Caenorhabditis elegans: one gene and its partner. The protein of the gene in region 1 purifies or fractionates together with the protein of each later gene. This does not show direct contact. Each region holds a gene or a part of one and is shown in the gene's direction. Other genes may lie near its edges. The genes, in order: timm-17B.1 and scpl-4.

Region 1 (7,029 bases):
GGTAAATTAATTCTTAATAATTGAGATAAGTTGATAAAAATCTGGATAACTGTAGATTTTGTAAGTTGTAAGCGTTAGAAATGCGGTAAATCTCGTAGAAACTTTATTTTTTGTATTTTAAGGGCAAAACCTTTCAGATCATAGATAAAAAGTTCAACAGCGTCATTTTAGTATGTCCTCGCTGAATGATATTTCACCCAGACTCCCGAGAGCGACCGCCCGATTGTTCTATGGCCTTTCTGTGTCTCTGCGTCTCCTCGCCGCCCGAGAGATGGCACAACCCCCGTTTCTTTCTCGCTATTGCATCACGGGCGGTTCCCCAAGTGCTGCTGTGGCGGTTTCTTCCTGCTAGACTCTTTTAGTATATATTTCACTAATTTCTGTATTTTAAGGGTTCAACATGTCCGATATCCCAGCTGGAGATTACGAAAAGGGAAAGAAGGTGTACAAGCAGAGATGCTTGCAGTGCCACGTCGTTGACTCGACCGCCACAAAGACCGGACCAACCCTCCACGGAGTTATCGGACGTACATCAGGAACTGTGTCTGGATTCGACTATTCCGCTGCTAACAAGAACAAGGTACAACTAATAAATTATTTCTTAACGTTTATTATAAATTAAAAATTATAGGGAGTCGTCTGGACCCGCGAGACCCTCTTCGAGTACCTCCTCAACCCAAAGAAGTACATCCCAGGAACCAAGATGGTGTTCGCTGGACTCAAGAAGGCTGACGAGCGTGCAGATCTCATCAAGTACATCGAGGTTGAATCCGCCAAGTCCCTCTAAATATTCCCCTAAATGTTCTCGCCTAGCTACGGCAATTTTTCATAGTTAGGCACTTTCGATTGTTTTACTTTTATATATTGCACTAATTTTGTGTCATTCTCATTTTTAGTAGCAAGAATATACGTCAATTTGGAAAATAAATAATTTTCCTAAATTCGTTTTCCTTTTCCCCACAGTCGCATCACAGCAGGTGTACACTCTTCCGCTACCATAGCAACCAAAATGGGCACCAATGCACCAAGAAATCGGAACGAGCTTTTTGTCATGCATCTTCTTGGATTTATTTTTCTTTTAACTTATTGTTCGGCTGATACTCCAGAGGTTTGTTATCCGTCAGTTGTTCGGCACCGGATTGATTCGATATTTCCAACTTCTCGTTTGTTCTGCGTCTCCAAGCAAAATGGTGGGCTTTTTTTAGCTGAACGCGAACAAATTACGGAGCTTTTTTGAATTTAGATGATTTGGAATATGGTGACGTGGAAATTGTGAATGGCGAAGAGCAATGGAACGAATTTTCAAAATCTAGATGGCAGCAAGATGAATCTGATTCACAAGAAAATGTAACACAATTAAAGATCTACGCAGACGGAAAATTTTGCGCCAGAAATACTGTACCTGGTCTCGACACGCTTTTGTTTGTAAAACGCGAAAAGATAAATATGCGCCTTTAAAGGAGTTCTGTAATTTCAAATATTCGTTTCTGCGGAATTTTCATTGATTTTTAATAATTTACCCATACATATTACAAATCATGAGAAAATGTGAAAAATCTATCAAAAATTTCGCAGAGATGAAAGTTTGAAATTACAGTACTCTTTTAAAGGCGCACATCTCCTCGCATCAAAAAATTATGTCGTGTTGAGACCGGGTAAATACAGTAGTTTTCGAGATAAATCTCAAGACTTCGGTTAATAATGAATTGAGATTTCTTTTTTTTTTCAGTTAGAACTCTTACATTTCGGAAGTTCAAGAGCCGTTCGCCTATTCAAATTTCCCGCTGCAATTTCAGCATCCGATTTCTGTACTGGAACTCAAAATGTGATAACGAAAAGGAATATGACAGTAAAGTGCAAGCCTCTCGCCACCACTGATATTTTGTCTCATTGTTCCGAAAATGAGTTTCTCAATGCTCAGGCTCTGTTTGGAAACGGCGATTTTGTAGAACGAACCGAAAATGAGACGATTGCGATTCCAAGGCTCAGCACCGCCCAATTTATAGCTCCAGTTTGGAATAATTCAATGTGTTATGGAGTTTTGAAATCTGCAAATATTATATTCCGAATGAATGGGATAAAAACGAATTCCGTTGAGATTGATGCCCAATATGATAGTCTTCCTGGAAATGTAGATAATAATTGGTTCGAGCAGACATTTTCAGTTTATTGGATTCCGCTTGTGGTTGCCAGTGAGATAGAGACAAATCAGACTGTTGTAGGATATAAAGCTGGGGAGCAAACTTATAGGGTTAAAGGTTATTTCAAATTGTAGATCTTATATTTGTTCTACATTTTCAAAAATATTTCAGGTTCTATTCCCGTTCCATTCGCTGTTCCAACACTAGGCAACTGCTATTCTGGATCTATTGCACCATCTCCTGTGTTCTTCCTTCGATCGATGTCTTCTGTGTGCACGATTTCCACAATAAATTGCGAAGATGCTCGTGCAAAAGCGAGAGCATTCTACGAACAAGTTTATCCATCCGTACTTGTTTCATCGCCTTCAGAAGATGCACATCCAGCTTCCGTTGGGAGAGTTAATGTTACTTGGGAAGAAGTATTTATTATTTAATTAGCTATTTAATTTATATATTTTTTTAATTTCAGCTATCACCTTCCACAATATCCTGCCGTTTACCTGTGTCCTCGTTACTTCAAATCTACTATTCCAAGCAAGGATCTACAAAAAACTATCGAGAGGTTATAATTGCAGGAAACTCACAGCTACTTTTAGATGATGTATGACCTTCTTATTTAATGTATACAAAATTAGTTTTTTATTCAGGTTCCGTATCTTTCTGGCCAAGAAATTCGTATGCCAATCTCAATTTCATTCACAGAAGTCACACCACCTCCGAAGAACATATTTTCAGCTTTACCTTACGTTGATATTCGACTACCTCACGACTTCTTCTATCCATTTATGAGCACTTCAAACTACTCTGCTAGCTTAAACTATTCACAATGTATTTTTATCATTTTTATAATCTATATTCTTAAATAAAAACTGTTTTTAAAGTATTTATCCTTGTTAATTTTTATTAAATCTAGTCACAAACTAAAGAAAATATTTATTTTATTTAACTTTAATGTTTAAGATTTAAACTTTTAAGATAAAAGTTAATGATTCAAAGAAATAAATAAAAATAAAAACGATAGAAAAAACGAAAGTCAAGAAGGACGCAAGCAATTCTTTGCTGACGCATGTCTCGTGAAATTTGCGTGATGGCGCACTTCTCGTGCACTTTTCTCGAGCTTTCAGATTCATTTTTCAACTCAATTCTTTACAAAAAACTGCACTTTTACCGCTTTAAAATCAATAAATTTAATCAATTTCTGTTTTCAGGGAATAAATACACACAAAAATGGAAGAGTACACCAGAGAGCCATGGTAAGATTTCCTAAAATTGGTTTTTTTACTGAAAATAATTTTTTCCAGCCCATATCGTATCGGAGATGATATTGGATCGGCGTTTGCGATGGGTCTCGTTGGAGGATCCATTTTCCAAGCTTTTGGAGGATATAAAAATGCGGCGAAAGGAAAGAAATTGGTGATTAATTTTTTAAAGACAAAAATACTTAATTAATTGATTAATTTAGGTTGGGATGATGCGAGAAGTACGAATGAGAAGCACATTAACAGGAGTTCAGTTTGCCGCTTGGGGAGGAATGTTCAGTACAATCGATTGTTGTCTTGTCGCCATCCGCAAGAAGGAAGACCCCATCAACTCTATTGTTTCTGGAGGATTGACTGGAGCTCTTTTGGCGATCCGTTCAGGACCAAAGGTAGCAGAATAGCTTTAATTTAGTGAATTAATAATAATTTAATAATTTTTGTTTAGGTGATGGCAGGAAGTGCGATTCTTGGCTCTGTAATTCTGGCTATGATCGAAGGAGTCGGATTGGTGACCACCCGCTGGATGGGAGCAATGATGGATCCAACACAGCCGCCGGTATGTTTTGTTTTCTGGCTCAAAACTTATTTATTTATTTATTCACTATTTTTGCAGCCAGAAGCTCTCGACGATCCACGCAGTCTGGGACAAAAGAGTCAAGCAGAACCAGGACTCGACCAAACGAGACCCTTCGGAATTCCAACTGGATTACCAAATCTGTCCTAAATCTTTTTTCACTCATATCCGTTTTTCTTTATGCTTTTGTCTCTTATCTCAATTTTCCCCCCTCCAACTTCGGTGATCGGCCGATTCCTCTACATTTTTTAGGAGCTCCAATTTTATTAGTTACATATTACATTAGTGTTGTTTGTTTTGTTGATGATGTTCATTGCGATCACGAATCTTATTTAGATTCGCGCTTTCCTTCCAAAAATCAAGTTTCAGATCCGTATGGGTGCACGGCATCTCCATCTCTCCCCTGTTTTTTCGAATTTCTTTCCCCTTTAATTTCTTTTTAATAATCTTCACTGTTCCCTATTTCTTTTTCCGATGAAGACGTTGTTTATAATATCATGATGATTCAATCGTGTTTAAAGTAAAATTAAATCTTGAAATTATACATTAACTTCCAGCTCTTTAGCACAATAGAGTGCATGAAATTCAAATAAATTTCAGCTGAAAGCTCGAAGCTGATGCTCGGAGCGATTGCGAGGAAAACTGTAGAGAATCGGATTCTGTAAGGGTTTGTGAGTGGTCCCCCCAATTGAAATAGACGAGAAAATTTGCGATTTTAGGCAAAAATTCTGAAATTTCATTATTTTTTACCCGAAAACCTTGAAATTCGAGATTTCTCGTTTAAAAAACGCGAAATTTTTATACAGAAACTCCAGGTTTTGAGAAAAAACGGGAATTTTTCTACATTTTGCCTGAAAATATCGATATTTGATTTTTAAACAATGAATTTCACGGTGTTTTTTGCTAGAAATGCATTTTAAAAATTTGAAAACATGAAAATGTTGTTTTTTGGCATAAAGTGTATAAAAATATCGGAAATTTTGCGGAAAATTGCATGAAATGTTTTTATGCTAAAAATACGGTATATGGTCTCGACGCGAGAAAGTTTTGCAAACTGCAAAGAGGCGTGCGCCTTTAAAGAGTACTGTAATTTTAAACTTTTGTTTTTGCGGATATTTCATAGTTTTTCATCCCGTTTTCTTGAAATTGTATGTGTTTAAAAAATTATATATGTATCCCACAGTCTCGTCATCGAAAGCGCACAAAAAACAGCCTACTGGCGCGGATATATCCACGGCGAGACTTTGAAGCTACAGTACTCTTTAAAGGCGCACGCTTTTTCAAGTTTTGCAGCAAAAACTGTCGTGTCGAGACCTAGTTTGTTGGAGATTTGCAAAATTCCACACCTGGATAACAACAATTTTAATTTCTGCATGTTTTTCCGCTAGTACTTTCACATTTCGCAATTTTTCACAATCTCACTTTTCAGAGTTTCTCGTCACTTGATTTCTTCAACCAGCTGCTTATTTAAGGATAATAACGAAGAATTATTAGAAAGTATCAAGGAGAGAATTGCCAGAAATCGCCGAATTCTTCAGAAGCATTCGTCTTCACATTTGAAGTGAGTTTTATTGGGATTTTTTGTCTGAAAAGTACAGTACGGGGTCTCGGCACGACAATTTTGTTGAATGGCAAAATGCGTTAAAGAGACATTTTTCAAGATTTCACATATATGTTCGACCTCAAAACTTGAAATTTGACATGCTTCCGTCAATTTTTTCAAAATTTCAGTTGAAAAATACATAAACTGTATGAAAAAATTCGAATTTTTGATTTTTTTGACGCTATTTAATAAACTTTACCAATATTTCAGAGCTCGAGAAGTAAACGCAAGCATCTCAAATCTGCGACAATCAATGGCGGCAGTGCAGAAGAAACAAAAAGCGGCTCACGAACCACCGGCCAACTCAATTGTCAACATTCCCAGTCAAGTATCGATCGAAGTTCTCGGTAATGGAACAGGACTTCTCCGAGCATGCTTCATCCTTCGAACACCACTGAAAACCTACATGTTCAACTGCCCTGAGAATGCATGCAGATTCCTGTGGCAGCTTAGGATCCGAAGTTCAAGCGTCGTTGATCTTTTCATCACATCTGCAAATTGGGATAATATTGCTGGAATTTCATCAATTCTACTTTCTAAGGAATCAAATGCATTGTCTACTCGACTTCATGGTGCAATGAATATCAAACACTTTTTGGAATGTATTCGACCATTTCAAGATTCGGATTACGGTAGCTGCAAGTATCCATCTCAAGTTGAAGAACGTCCATATACAATGGAGAATTATGAGGATGCCGGATTAAAGGTCACATATATTCCTCTGAGTCCACCGTTGAATATCGGAAGTAACAACGAAAAAAGTAAAAATGTGAAAGTCAACAATGTAGACATTGCATTTTTAATCGAAATGAAGGAGGCAGCCAGACGAATCGATACGATGAAGTTGATGGAACTGAAAGTACCGAAAGGTCCACTAATTGGAAAACTGAAATCAGGAGAAGCAGTTACTCTTCCAGATGGAAGGACGATTCAACCTGATCAAGTTTTCTCATCGGATAAAGTTGAAGGAGACAAGCCACTGCTTTTAGTGACAGAATGTACTACAGAGGATCATGTGAAAGCACTGATAGACTCATCATCACTGCAACCATTTTTGAATGGGGAAAAACAGTTGGATTATGTAAGATTGAAAAAAGAATTATTGACATTAAAAAATACATTTTCAGATGGTTCATATCAGTGATGATGCAGTAATCAATACTCCAACCTACAGACATTTGATGGAGAAGCTCAACAATCCCAGTATCACTCATTTGCTGATCAATGGAGGGAATCCTGTGATTCCAGCTGTGGAAAGTGTCTATAAGTAAGGAAAATATGAAATATTGAATAGATCTACGAATTCGAGATCTGCGAAAACAAGATCCAGGGTCTCAAGAGCTGCAGTTGGCACGATTTCAGGACCTCTGTTTTCGCAGATCTTCTATTTGACGAGATCCCGTTTTCGTGTTCCCTCGCGGCATCAGAAAATTCAAAAAATTTCAGTTTTAC
Region 2 (7,029 bases), on another chromosome or scaffold:
ATATGGAAAAACGACTGGACGATGGGCATGGCGCACTCTCTAACAGGCCTTCCAACTATAAAAATTTATGAGCAATGAACTCTATATTTCTCTGAATCTATGCTTTCACTAGAAGCCACGTCACAAGAAGACACATATACACTACTTCTCTTGACTTCACAGCTTCCTCGTTATTCCTTCAATTGGATACGAGAATATCTGGCAAAGAAAGCAATGAGAGAAAAGGATGAAAATGAAAGCAACGAACAAAAAAAAAGGCTATAAATCAGACGGCACTCCGCCAATTTCCTGAAAATTGCTCAAGTTTTCTGAGTGTGAATTTGAAATGGAAATGCCACGTCAGCAGAGTGAAATGTGGAAAACTATAATTAGAAATCTGGAAAAGTGTTTTGTGCAAATGAGTTCAGTCTAATTTATAATGGTTGGTAGAACAGTTTAAACTGAAACAATTTGATTAACAATTTAGTTTATCTTCTAAATCTTAATTTGAGCAGTATCATAAGTTTCGTCATTAAAAAAATTTGGTACATATTTTTTCTAATCATGCCACTTGAATGAAAATGTTCAAATTTCATGTGAAGGTGTACATTTTAGTTTGTTTATAAACTTGGTAAAACTATGCTTATCGTGACTACATGCCATTGAAAAAATTATATGAGGGGAGCAATAGGAAGATAGAATAGGACACGGAACAGGAATGAATGAATGTGGAAATTTTATTGGACAGAAAATCATTCTCATACCAATTTAGAAAGAAAAATGACCACTTTCGACCAGAAATGGATTTCAGGCGAAAGAGTGTAGGTTATGTATAATCATAGGATTTATTTGTATGCCAATTGAATTGAAAACAAAAAGAAGTCAGGAAGATGGAGTCAGAAATTCGTTGCTAGGAGATAGAGACCCTTGGGATTACAAAAATTGTATGCGATGTTTTTAGTTGTAAAAATCTTCAAATGTTTTTGACATTTATAAAATCAACATTTTTTCACAATTTGAGATAGAATAAATTAAGTTGATACAAGTCCAAGGGATCTAAATAGAATAAATTAACTATGAACTTTGGAAAACACGTCAAATATCTAACGACGACCGTAACGATTTTTATTCTACTTTTTACAATGATCATTGTAAATATCGCGTTAACGTTGCCTTTAAAGGCCTTTTTTAATGTGAATTTCAAACTTTTTTAAAGGGAGGTCCAATTATGCAAGTGGGCCTCGCCGCGCGAAATATATTTTTAAACGAAGAATGCTATGCGCCTTCATTCTTACTGTAGAAGCTTTAGAAATTGTTTCAAGAACTTTTTTATTTTCTGTTCTCTGTGTAAATAATATTTAGATATTGAAAGAGTATAAATAATAAATATTTCAAACTTTTAGATCATAATTTCGATTTTTTCCTGTTTTTAGACTTGTGCGTGTGTGTAGATCATTTGTTGCTCTTCTTTTTTTAACCCCGCGAATTCGAACATAATGATGAACCCGATAGTTTTGAATGCTCATCAGTCGATATTTCCTCAGTTGATCTTCGATCACTTCAGTAGGAATGTCGTCATCCTCTTTTATTTCTTCAATCCCTACTAATCACACAATATTCGCTACTCCTGCTTCTAAGAAATACTCAGTACCGAATGCGGAGCACAGCTATTTTTATATTCCCCCGTGCAAATCTGTTGTTAGTTCTGAAAAGGTAAGTTGAAAAATGCTTTAAAAAATAATTAAAACTAATTAAAATTTTCAGCCGCTAACAGTATTTATGAAGCGAGATGTCATTGATGGTTTAGAGATGGAATGGATTGAACACTCGCCACGAGTAGTTCTTCTTTATGCATTTGCTGCAATTCTGACTATTGGATACTATGCAGGATCTTTCGTTTTTCAGTATGGAAACTATACCCCAAGGAAGAAAAACAATATTTTTGGTGAGTTTTTTCTGAAAATTTTTTAAAAATACATTTTTGTTTCCAGATGAAGCTTTTCTGACTCGTGTCGTGATTGTGCAATGGCTGATACTTCTCGCTATACTGTTTTCCGGAGTATTTCTCTACCGCCGTCTCTTCATGCCACTCTACATTTTCCTTGCAGTCATGGCCACAAACGGAACTCTCGTACTTTTTATGCTCAAAGTGAAGCAGCTAGTTGATGCACGGATAAACATCAGTGAGTTGAGCGAACCAGAATTTTATTTGAGAAAACATTTTTCAGTGGACATCTCGTTGAATATGCTCGGCCTTCTACTATTCTGCGCAGTTTTACACGATATTGTCTATTTCTACGCAATCCATTTGAAGTTGGTTGAGTCACGTCCCGTCCTTGTTCCTGGCTTCCGCGTATACGATGCAACAATGCCGAATCACTATTCGACTATTCATTCAACTCGGATGGCACCAAACAAGAATGCTTCATGTGAAACCGTAGATATAGTATAAGAGATTATTAATTCATCCTTAATAGCATATTATCCCTATTCATAACTTATTCTATTGCTCCAATGATTGTTGATAAGCTCGGTCCTATAATATATTCTCCTAACGTTGAATTCATATCCAAAGCCTATTGTGATTTCGATTTAAAATCGACTATTCATTTATTTCAAGAATAACTTGTACTTGCTTGATTTATTAACAGGATTATCTATATAATTTAATAAATTCAGTCACGCTCTTTGACATCTCGACATTTATAGCGATATAGCGCTAATAATAGGGAACTTCTTTGAACACATCTTTAGTGCATACTATTTTCGTGAAAAAAAGTATTAAATAAACAAGCGTATTCTTATAAGTATAAATTTATAACAAGATACAGACATTTTTGTTAAAATTATAAAAATTATAACAAAATTTTTCATGAAAGTTTGCAACGACACTCCGGTTTACGATTCGCGTGTTGTTTATCGTAAATCGTAAGGGTTCGTTCAAGACGTGATTTTTCCTGTTTTATTTTCTTAATTCTATTACAATGTTCAATTCATTTTAAATTTCTTGCAAAGATAATAATTAGGTCTTGTATCAAAATTTCTACGTTTTCTCATACTTTTTTTTAACCTAATTATTGCATCATAGTACGCATTTCTAGATTCTACCAATCCCAAAAAATTTCAGGGTAAAAATGTCGCTGAGCAAGTTGACTCAGACCTGCTTCAGCCGACACCAAGCGAAAACATTTATAAGACTTTATAGTTCAGGTAAGATTCCACCAATATTTCTCATTATACAAAAATTTCAGATTTTAAATCTCTTCTGGGCCCACCGGCTGTTGCAAACCCTTATGCAGACAATGGACGCACTCGTTTTGCTCCAATTGTGCCAATAAACGTATTGACTTGAATCAGTATAGATAATTTATAATTATACAGTTTTCAGCACGGAAATGTTTTTGCTAGTATCAAATTGCCGATAAATGAGACCCAAGAAGCAATCGCATTCAAATCAGAAGTCGAAGAAGCCCCAAAAGTAGAGAAACTCGAAGTTGTACGCATAATTTGTTTTATTTGATAAATTTTGAAATTTGTAGGAAAGTCCAAAAATAGAAGCTGAAAAGGTGCTGAGCTCCCCGCCTCCTGCTCCTGCCCCCACGTCTTCAGCCATTGACGAGTTGAACTCACTGAAAGATTCTCTTGAAAAATTGGAATCTGCTGCATCAAAGTCTTCCTCTTCTTCTGGAGGTTCTAGTGATAACAGTGACGTAAGTCTTATATTCATAACTGTTTTAAGTGTGGTTTTTAAGCCTGGTAACGCTGAAGAAATCGAAGCTCGCCGGAAACGAATGGAAAGAAATACTCGCATTGGAGCATATGTTCTGTTTGGTGGATCTATTATCGGATTTATTTCGTTCTGTTTCTACTATGGACGTGCACAACGAGATGAATTCGGAAATGTGATATCTGATGAATTCAGTGGTTCTTTCTTGGCACCGTTCTACCGCATTGCCAACAGTTTTAAATTATGGAGAGATGTGAGAATTCAATCTTTTAAAGATTCAAAAAAGAAATGTATAACATTGTTGAACACAAAATGCCAGAATACCTTTTTTCTACAGCTATTGCTGATATTTTCTGAAAGTATCTAATTTATTCATATACCAATAATAATATTTCTTAAAACATCAAATAGACCAACAATTTTATAAATCCATAATCAGTAACACATGCAAAATTTGATAAGTTTCAAAATAGATTTAGTTAATCTCATCCATTGCACTTTTTCTTGACCAATTTTTGAAATGAATAATTTTACAAAAAATAGCTTAATATAAAAAGAATGATTAAAAATTAGTACCATTATCAGAATGATTTGTAATTTCTGCTCAAAAAAAAAAGTCGGAATCGCGACTTTTTCCGGCAGTACTGTATTTTAATATTTTTATTTTCAGTATGTCGTCGAGCCAGCACGTGAGCAATTGTTGCCTGATCCATTGCCAGCACCATATCTCCAACCAAAATATACAATTGTGATCGAATTGAAAAATATTCTTGTGCATCCTGAATGGACATACAAAACTGGATATCGTTTCCTAAAGCGTCCAGCACTTGACTATTTCCTCGATGTCATTGGATATCCAAATTTTGAAGTCGTTATCTATTCATCTGAATCAATGATGACAGCTGCTCCAGTTGTTGATAGTTTTGATCCAAAACAAAGAATTATGTACAAGTTGTTCAGAGATTGCACAAAGTATATGAATGGACACCATGTCAAAGTAAAAAATTACGATTTCTCTTAATTAGTTAAACTTTTTTTCCAGGATTTGTCGAAATTGAATCGCGATTTGTCGAAAGTTATTTATATCGATTTTGACGCTAAATCAGGACAATTAAATCCAGAAAACATGTTAAGAGTACCAGAGTGGAAAGGAAATATGGATGATACAAGTCTAGTTGATTTGGCAGAGCTTCTTAAAAGTAAGTTGTTTTGAATATGAATGATTTGCTTCAATTTTAATTTTTTTTGCCAAAAGCACGAAAAAAGCAAAAAAAAATTTGTTTTATTACAATATTCTGAGAATGCGTATTGCGCAACATATTTCACGCACATATTATCTCGTAGCGAAAACTACAGTAATCCTTTGAATGACTACTGTAGCGCTTGTGTCGATTTACGGGCTCGATTTTCGAAATGCCGTAAATCGACACTAGCGCTACAGTAGTCATCTAAAGAAGTTTTCGCTACGAGATATTTTGGGCGTCAAATATGTTGCGCAATACGCATTCTCAGAATTCTGTGTTCCCGTAAAATACGTTTTGAACGTTAATTTGAAAAACTCAGATATTTTATTGAAATTTTCAATAGTTCTAATTTCCAGTGTAATTTTTCTTTTGAAAAAAAAGGTGTTAAATTTGAACATTATCATACGATTTTCAGTTTGCGATAGATTAACAAAATTTTCGCAAATTTTTCCTTTTTCCCGAAAAAACCAAAAAAAAACGCATTAAACGAAAAACCAACAGATCTGACTTCGATATTTAATTACATCATTTTTAAAATTATAACATAAAATCTTATAATTTTGGCAAAAAACATGATCATTATCGATCCCGTTATTGGAACATTTTGTATTTTATTAATTCAGCTATTCACCTATCTGACGCTGAAGATGTTCGTCCCATGCTACAGTACTACTCGCAATACGATGATCCAGCGAAAGAATTCCGTCGACGAGCTGTATACTTGTCACAACAAGAAGAACAAAAGAAACAACAACCCGATGATAGTTCCATGTTGAAAAGATATTCTGGAAGATTGTTCGGATCTAGAAGACACGTTAATGCCTAAACTTTCCAAACATTTTTCATCTGATGATATGATACTCTGACTCTCTTTTCCCTGCGCCCTTTTCACTCTCAATGTGCCTTTTTATAGCTCAATTTTTCTAATAATATAGGATTGTAGGTTTATATTGTTTTCTTTTTTAGTTCTTTCCATTCTTGTGTTTTTTTAAATTTAGTTCTTCCCACACTAGAGTTGTTCAGAGCCGGTATATGACAGTTGAATTCTCCGTCTACACACTTCTTTGTTGATTTTTGTTGTTTCTTATTCCACCCTTTCCAAAAAAACGTATCAATTTTTTTCAGAAGTGTTCGTTTCATTTTTCCTTTTGTTTTTGAAATTCTCACCATAAAATCCGATAAAACATTCAGAAAAATTGTGTTCTTCTCATTTGATAAACGCGCGTTGAAAAATCGCGAGAAAGCTTTATCACATTCACTTTTTATTTTTCTCTTTTCATTTCATTTCGATTATCTGGGTCGATGTTGCCATCAAAAGGGCATCAGAAGCATCCACAAGACAAGAGACGCAGTATATGATCGTTCCAAATTTTGAAAGCTTTCATTCACTGCGTCTCTTCTTTTGTTACTCTCTAAAGTCAAATCAAACATTTGGTCGATTACAATTGTTTGACTATTTCCACGTCATAAAATATATATTTTCCATATTGAGCAATTCATTCGTTTTAGCAACGGGTCTTCAGAAGAGAGAACATAGGAGGAGGAGAGACGCAGATAATACAGTTGGTGACGTCATCTACAAGAGAAGGATTACAGAGGGACAATTATGAAGGTAAGAATAAACTACTGGTAAATAAATACTACACTAATCTTTCTCTCCGATTTCTGAAAATAATTGTAGATGGTGGAAAGGTTTAAAGATAGAAGACGCAGAAAGATTATGATAGAAATGGGCGGATCTTTCTCGAGTGATAATGAAGAAATCTGCAGGAGTTTCCTTTTTGTGATAGAACATAGTGAAAGTACGATTTATCGTTTAATGATACACTTTCTCTTTTTTTTCTTCAAATTTACAACTGTAATTAAAAGTTAGGCAGATATAAATCTAGCATGAACTCCTAACATTAAAAAATAATTCCAATATTAGAAAAGCGTTTCTTAAAAGTCCTATCATCTTACTACCTACAACATAGATATGACGTATTGTGTCCAAAATTGTCCAATCTGACAATTTACCCTGAAATTTGTCTCGTCTAAAGTTGCATCTGTGTCCATTGGGATGATACTGGTCTTTTTGTC

What was found.
Region 2: the proteins of timm-17B.1 (region 1) and scpl-4 fractionate together in Caenorhabditis elegans (co-fractionation; one large-scale study listed by BioGRID). This does not show direct contact.

What each region holds. Positions count from the first base shown.
Region 1 is NC_003282.8:4,741,813-4,748,841, reverse strand, and holds timm-17B.1 (putative mitochondrial import inner membrane translocase subunit tim-17B.1), read left to right. Parts: upstream 1-3,349; 5' UTR 3,350-3,368; coding exon 3,369-3,394; intron 3,395-3,442; coding exon 3,443-3,554; intron 3,555-3,603; coding exon 3,604-3,789; intron 3,790-3,845; coding exon 3,846-3,956; intron 3,957-4,013; coding exon 4,014-4,124; 3' UTR 4,125-4,465; downstream 4,466-7,029. Other genes in the region: cyc-2.1 (Cytochrome c 2.1), read left to right, coding at 401-580, 632-787; tctn-1 (Tectonic domain-containing protein), read left to right, coding at 1,010-1,190, 1,244-1,347, 1,730-2,258, 2,313-2,560, 2,611-2,742, 2,789-3,007; elac-2 (Zinc phosphodiesterase ELAC protein 2 homolog), read left to right, coding at 4,592-4,635, 5,404-5,535, 5,788-6,658, 6,705-6,844. UniProt on the Caenorhabditis elegans protein: Essential component of the TIM23 complex, a complex that mediates the translocation of transit peptide-containing proteins across the mitochondrial inner membrane.
Region 2 is NC_003283.11:10,595,999-10,603,027, forward strand, and holds scpl-4 (Mitochondrial import inner membrane translocase subunit TIM50), read left to right. Parts: upstream 1-3,106; 5' UTR 3,107-3,113; coding exon 3,114-3,189; intron 3,190-3,230; coding exon 3,231-3,319; intron 3,320-3,367; coding exon 3,368-3,475; intron 3,476-3,518; coding exon 3,519-3,689; intron 3,690-3,731; coding exon 3,732-3,959; intron 3,960-4,376; coding exon 4,377-4,703; intron 4,704-4,748; coding exon 4,749-4,905; intron 4,906-5,573; coding exon 5,574-5,776; 3' UTR 5,777-6,149; downstream 6,150-7,029. Other genes in the region: T21C9.13 (DUF4149 domain-containing protein), read left to right, coding at 1,549-1,692, 1,744-1,924, 1,971-2,162, 2,208-2,431; H27A22.1 (Glutaminyl-peptide cyclotransferase), read left to right, coding at 6,557-6,562. UniProt on the Caenorhabditis elegans protein: Essential component of the TIM23 complex, a complex that mediates the translocation of transit peptide-containing proteins across the mitochondrial inner membrane.